Linked DNA regions of Xenopus tropicalis. The protein of the gene in region 1 interacts with the protein of each later gene in a biochemical or structural test. Links are inferred from orthologs where the notes say so. Each region holds a gene or a part of one and is shown in the gene's direction. Other genes may lie near its edges.

Evidence for each region. The genes of interacting proteins can lie anywhere in the genome.
Region 2: the proteins of zbtb16 (region 1) and hbegf form a complex in vitro, tested with the Homo sapiens proteins (2 studies listed by BioGRID). The link is inferred for Xenopus tropicalis from reciprocal best matches to the Homo sapiens genes ZBTB16 and HBEGF.

Annotation. Positions count from the first base shown.
Region 1 is NC_030683.2:85,590,315-85,593,814, forward strand, and holds part of zbtb16 (zinc finger and BTB domain-containing protein 16), read left to right. Parts: intron 1-1,240; coding exon 1,241-1,411; intron 1,412-3,500. UniProt on the Homo sapiens protein: Acts as a transcriptional repressor. Transcriptional repression may be mediated through recruitment of histone deacetylases to target promoters. May play a role in myeloid maturation and in the development and/or maintenance of other differentiated tissues.
Region 2 is NC_030679.2:31,763,987-31,767,943, forward strand, and holds the start of hbegf (proheparin-binding EGF-like growth factor), read left to right. Parts: upstream 1-1,157; 5' UTR 1,158-1,374; coding exon 1,375-1,414; intron 1,415-1,689; coding exon 1,690-1,845; intron 1,846-3,957. UniProt on the Homo sapiens protein: Growth factor that mediates its effects via EGFR, ERBB2 and ERBB4. Required for normal cardiac valve formation and normal heart function. Promotes smooth muscle cell proliferation. May be involved in macrophage-mediated cellular proliferation.

The DNA of each region.
Region 1 (3,500 bases):
TATAGTTTTCTTGTGTTCTCTTATAACTATGTATAAATAATAAATACACAACATTTCATTATTTGCTTCTCCATTTACCTGTATTTTACCATTATTGCTGCTTAGTCTATAATAAAGTAAATGAGGTACAGTTATCTGTAATAATAAACAGCAGGCTATCATCATTATTCCCAGACGTTAAGACTTAGTGCTACTGTACAGAGTATTTTCTTTAATTATTGTGATTCTCTGTTAAATCTGATTGCACCATTGTGCCATTTCTTGGCAAATAGAGAAGAATATTATCATAAAATAATTGAAAAATGACTTATTGTACAAGTGTTACAAGAGAACAGGGCTTTTATTAGTCTATTAAATGTGTGCAGTTTGTCTTGGGTCACTCTGCATGATACCAAATTTTCAAAATGCTATCTTGCTGATGTGGCATTCTCTTACTCTTTATTATAATTACGTGTTATTATTATCATTATTATTATTCATTTGAAAATATTTTCCTTGAACACTGTGTTGGTGTGCCTTTTGCCATATAAAGAAGTGTGCCAAAAGGGGACATTATGTGCATGCCTTCCACATATGAAGGGCAAAAACCCACAAGGTGAATGAGTCCCCTTCTGTTGCCTGCAATGGCAATAAGCTGAAAAGTCATTGTCACTTGAAAACATGGCTGTGAGCTTTTGACTATCCATTGACTATCCATTGTACAATTGATCTTAGGCGAGTACCACAGTAAGCAGTGGGGGGGCGGGAGGGTTGCGATATGACTATGCCTTATACCCAAATGCCTATTCACCCAAATCATAACATATTAACTAATAATTTTACCATTTGCCACTAGGTGGGCCTTGTAGTCAAAAATAAATTTTCTGTTATAATCAAAAGCCCCAGACATCACTAAAACCAGCCACATTCCTATTACTCCCCTATGGCTTATGGGATATGTAGCATTTCTTTGCTGGGGTATTTTAGCAGAGAAACTCCTGATACCCCCCTCCCATACCTTCTGACATTTATTTGTATAGAAAATCCTCAGCTCTCTATCTATTTTTTTTTTGTATCCCAAAAATGTATAATACTTGCTTAGTTTTACTGAGCAGAGAGAAGAAATCTGGTTTAATCAGTAAGAAATGTCATGCAAGCTGCTTTGGCTGTATAGATGTATTTGAATATATAACTTGGACATGGACAATGGAGGGACCTAAGCAGACACAGCCATAATGTTTTTTTTCCTTGTGCATTTCAGGCTCAGACATGGCTGTGTTCTGTCTACTTTGTGGAAAGCGCTTTCAGACTCAGACTGCCCTGCAGCAGCACATGGAGGTCCATGCAGGAGTGAGAAGCTATATCTGCAGTGAGTGCAACAGGACTTTCCCCAGCCACACTGCACTCAAACGCCACCTACGCTCACACACAGGTAAGGAGGCCCTAAGAATATCGGCACCAAGGACAGCAGTGTCTGCTCTTGAAATACAGGGTAAAACAGTTTTAACAGTAGTTCAAATGTGGCAGCCATACTGAACAACACTATGTTGCTGATTCTGTTGCCATATATAAGGCATGAAGCCCCCATCCTTATATATAAATATTAACATGAACAAGGATGAGATTCAGCTAGAGAACACAGTGTAGTGTTTCAAATTTAACCTAATATGTCCTGTTATCACACTTGGGGTAATAGTGAATATGCACTTGGGTGCTGCTCATCCTTTGGCAGAACTGTGAAAGGTTTTGATTGGGACACAGATGAGGATGCTGGCCAGATCACCTGGAAACCTGTATATTGAAGTTGGGTGGCAGCATAGGGATGCTGTACATAGACACAGGAGAACTTAAGCAATGGTTTACTGCATTTCCTATTTATTTTCAGACAATATAATGTGACTAAAATCCCTTTATAAAGTGTTCAACTAAAACAAAAGATGATAGCAAGAAGTTTTTTTTAGATTCTTTCTCCAGGTTGTGTTGGCAATCTCAGCCCCAGTATCAGGTTGTTATTTATGATTCATAATAAGGCTTCTGCCGAAGAATAACAGTGTGTTGTGTGCTTGTGATACAGGGCAATCTATTTTAATATAACCCTACCTGTAGCATGTAGATGTGTCTGCAGGGACCTTTATTATTTTCTGTTCTCATCCACACCCCCTTCAGTTATTCGCTACAAACACAGCACTGATGTTAAATACATGTAAGTTATTCCTGGATCAATCAAGCTTCTTTTTTTTTTTTTATAATCACCATTGGCCAGTGGAGGACACATTAGTCTGGTGAGGATGGTAGGAGGTGTAATAGGAAGACAATTGATCCCCCCTTGTCTTGTGCTGCAGAGCGGCGCGTGCTTTCATTAATAATGCAGAAGGTGTCTTCAGCATGCGTGCCCAGTCTGTGTGCTTAACATCAGCAGCTGTGTTTGATAGCAAAGCCGCTGTCAGCCTCTTGGCATTGATTTAAAGGGGACTCTTAGTGTACCATACTCTCAGCTGTTGAATTGGGGTGAGACAGCAGTTAGCCACATGGGAAGTCCCAATATCTCACAATAGAATTGTTGTCTATTCAAAAGAATGAAAACTTCAGCTATAAAGATGTGCACATTTAAAGGAACAGATTTAAATGTACAGAAACGGACAGTGATGGCATAACCATCCCACCACTGAGGGTTTGTGCCCTTTTCCAGCCTTCCTGGCTTTTGAATAAGAATACATGTTGAATTCATGCGTGTCGGTACACACACAAGACCAGGAGGCTGGAAGCAGATAAAAGTGCTGTGTGTGGCACTGGCCTTAGCAATTTTTCTAATATACTGCATACCAAATAGATTGAATTTCTTTGAGAGATTTTCCTTTTGTGACAGATGTTACTCTATAAAGCACAATTGCTGCTGTCAGTCTTAAGTCTGGCCATGGCATAACTGCAAACACATATTACAGTAAACCTTTGGGTCCCCCACTCATTCACACTAAATGGTCTGGCTTTCAATTTTTGACCTGCTGCACATGGACAGCAGAAGTCGGCTTGTTTAGTTAGTCTGGACCCAGCAGATTGACCACCACTCCAAATGTTGGGCAGCAGCAAGCTTAGTAATGCACTCTTGAGTTACTGAAAGTGTTGTCAGTTATGACTGATTATCTTTTTCTCATAATTAATCTAGAATGCTTTAGGTGTCTATAGACTGGCTAAAGATGCTAAACATTGTAGTTTGGCTGCTTGCGAATTCCTGCTTTAGTTCTGTACAAAATAAATATGATGTTTCTCCGTTTGTAGGTTCTTTGCAGCTCATTTGCTGCCACCATCAAATCCTAACTCAACACACACACATTCCCACTTATGTATCAGTGCTTGGTGTCTATAAACTTGGTCTACCCTGGTCCTACCAATCAACCTTTCTATACTCGAAAACCCCTATTCCACATGATGTGAGAAACTGCACAGTTGGTAGTTATCAGCATACACTGCCATAAGACTGTCTACTGTATTGACAAGGCTGCTCTTATCATCCCTACAGAATA
Region 2 (3,957 bases), on another chromosome or scaffold:
AGAAGATTTTTTTGCAGGGGAATCCAAACTACTTAGTTACAAGGTACTGTTTTATTACAGAGGAAAAAGCAAATAATTTAAATTAGACTTATGTGCTTATAATACACAAGAGCCACACATATCCTGTTACTCATATCCTTATAAACGATTATTGCTTTTAGTTATAATTAGTGCTTAGGGATGTAATTTCTGTCACGACTCACTGAAACCTTTGTATTATAATAATGTACTCCCTGTTGTAAAATAGGAAGATATTAGCAGGGTCGGACTGGGGGTGAAGGGCCCAACGGGTCTCCCTCCCCAGGGGCCCTGCAGGTGCCCCCCTAACCCCTCTCGCAGGGCCCCCCACCCGACGTCCTCCCCCGAGCGTGTAAATTTAACGCATCAGGGGAGGAGCTGTCAGGCAGGGGGAGCGTCGGCAAAGGGTCAGGTCTGGGCCGCCAGGGCCCACTAGAGCAGGGGCCCACCCGGATTTTTCTCGGCCCAGTCCGACCCTGGATATTAGATGTCACCTTGGAGTTCCTTGACCTGTATAAAAGCTTTCGGCCTTTATATGGTCATGAAACTCCTCAGTGACTTATAATGTCCCTATGTTTTACAACAGTACATAATTTTCTATATAAGAGACTCTATAAGAGATGGTGTTCCTGTAAATTGGAGCTTTCTGGATAACAGGTTTCTGGATAAACATTTTTCTTGGCGTACCTTTGACACTTTTGGCATGCAGAAGTGGGCGGCTCAGAATAAATAGAGCATTTATATTTAGAAACATATTAGTCACATTTAATGAGCAATACAGACTGATGAACCTGTAGGAAATGTTTAGTTACACATGTAGAATGGGGCATCATACCCGAAACCCGACCACAACTTCCCCCCCAGACACCAACACAGCCAAGGATCCAGCCCAGGCATGAAAATAGCACCCAACCCATGTCTTCCTTCAGAATTAATCCGAATTAGAAATCATTCTTTAACGTATTAAACAAAAATACACCTTTGTACCCCGTACAGTTTTGTTTACAATGGAAGTCCGGTCGAACTTTTACTCGCATCACCGCCGAGTACCGCAAGGAAAAGTTATTTAGAGAATCAGGTTTGTTGGTTCTACCCCCAGCGGCGGCTTTAAAGCCTACACACGATGATGGTGCCGTGAGTAAGTTCTTAGTCAAGGAAGGGAGTGGCCGCCCATATTTTAAGCAAAGCATATGCCGCCCTACTGTGCCTCCCCGCAGCCAGTCCCACAGCGCGTCCATTCAGTGTGCGGGCCGACTCACTCAGCTGCATGGCCCCTACCGAGCGCTCTGCTCTCTCCCGTCTCTGTCCCGCCTGTGTCTCTCATTCACTCGCCCCCTGCGCTTCTCCTAACTGAACATGAACTTCATGAAACTTGCTCTGCTGCTTCTCCTGCAAGGTAAGCCATATTCTTTCCCTGACATTCTCTCCCCACTTTACGCGTTGAACCCAAAGGCTCAATGACTGCTCCCTATTTTTAGCTAATCCCATCCTATAAATGGCTGCTCTCGTACCGCTCGCAGAAATGCAGCTGCGCACGTTTATTCTAGGGAGGTGGCATCACTTCTCGTAGTGCAATGTATTTACTGAGGGGATATTTACATAACAGCAGAAAATGGCAATGCCATAATTCCCATTAGAGCTTGTGTAATGGGCTCCCGTTTTGTTTTGCAGTCTCCTATGTGTTTGTCTATGGAGCGGTGATAGGGGCGCATCAGAATGAAGTTTTCAGTAAAGCCACAAGCGACTTTGCACCGGCTGGGGAAAGTTTCCAGTATGAAGATAAAAGAGTGTTTACAGTAGGAAACCACATCGTTGCCTCGCCAAGGGGTAGGTGTGCCTCTTATTTGTGTTTGCCAATATGGCTAGCAGGGCTGTGCCACTAATGCACTGATTTGGGCAGTGGCATGGGCTCATGTTAAACAAAACTAAGCCTCTCTAAATCAACCAACTGGATAGAGGTTTTATACATGACCTTGGTGCTGAATGTGTCCTGCCATGTGTTCTAGGGTTATTATGTAAGAATTTGCCATTATATCCTGCAGTGCATTGTGGGGTATTATACATGGAACTGGCACAGTTGAATATTGGTCAAGTGTTCCCACATATTGTACCTGAAACCGGCACTGTATAGTTATCCTGACGTGTGTTCCCTCATATTGTACCTGAAACCGGTACTGTATAGTTATCCTGCCGTGTGTTCCCACATATTGTACCTGAAACTGGCACTGTATAATTATCCTGATGTGTGTTCCAGCACATTGTACCTGAAACCGGCACTGTATAGTTATCCTGACGTGTGTTCCGGCATATTGTACCTGAAACCGGCACTGTATAGTTATCCTGATGTGTGTTCCAGCACATTGTACCTGAAACCGGCACTGTATAGTTATCCTGACGTATGTTCCGGCACATTGTACCCGAAACCAGTACTGTATAGTTATCCTGCCATGTGTTCCGGCACATTGTACCTGAAACCGGCACTGTATAGTTATTTTGCCATATGTTCCAGCATATTGTACCTGAAACCCAGCACATTGAACCTGAAACCGGCACTGTATAGTTTTCTTGCCGTGTGTTCCGGCACATTGTATCTGAAACCGGCACTGTATAGTTATTTTGCCATGTGTTCCAGCATATTGTACATGAAACCCAGCACATTGTACCTGAAACCGGCACTGTATAGTTATCCTGCCGTGTGTTCCGGCACATTGTACCCGAAACTGGTACTGTATAGTTATCTTGCCATGTATGTATAATGTATAACTTTATTTAAAAAGCGCTACTTATGTACGCAGCACTGTACAGTAGAATACATTAATATAAACAGGGTTATTAAAATAGATAAATACAAAGTATTACAATAAGCACAAATAAATACAAGATACAGTTGCAATAAGTTAAGAGTCAAAGACACAAGAGGATGGAGGTCCCTGCCCCGTAGAGCTTACAATCTATATGTGTTCCAGCACATTGTACCTGAAACCGGCACTGTATAGTTATTCTTCTGTGTGTTCCGGCATATTGTACCTGAAACCTGCACTGTATAGTTATCCTGCCGTGTGTTCTGGCACATTGTACCTGAAACCCGGCACATTGTATCTGAAACCGGCACTGTATAGTTATTTTGCCATGTTTTCCGGCATATTGTACCTGAAACCCAGCACATTGTACCTGAAACCGGCACTGTATAGTTATCCTGCCGTGTGTTCCGGCACATTGTACCTGAAACCGGCACTGTATAGTTATCCTGCCGTGTGTTCTGGCATATTGTACCCAAAACCGGCACTGTATAGTTATATTGCCATGTGTTCCGGCACATTGTACCTGAGACCCAGCACATTGTACCTGAAACCCAGCACTGTATAGTTATCCTGCCGTGTGTTCCGGCATGTAGTACCTGAAACCGGCACTGTATAGTTATTTTGCCATGTGTTCCGGTATTTTATACCTGAAATCGACACACTATAATTATCCTGCCTTGTGTTTTAGTATATTATACCTCAACTAGGCACTACATTTATCCTACAAGGAATTCTGGGAGGTATTTTACATGAAATTGCCTTTATCCTACCTTTTGTAATGAGGTATTATATGTGGAATTTGCCCCTGGGATACTATGAAGGAATCTTTGTGGAAAATATCTTTAATTATCCTCCTCAGCCACAAAAACCACCCATACACCTATGGGCAGTGAGTTGCCCATCTGGATTTAATATCAGCCTGCATTTTGTAGGCAACTGGAGAGAAGTGCATCAGCTCACTTCCGCAGCTCTGTATAGTTGTAGTACCGATAGACACAGTGCAAGGGAGATTGGCCTGAAAATGCCTGCTTTTATGCCAATTTTTATTCTTAGTAGCCTCACTCAGTTGGGATCTGTTCATGTTGGTGTAGCTATACAGAGCTGCAGAAGAGAGCAGATGCAAAATGCAGGCTAAAAA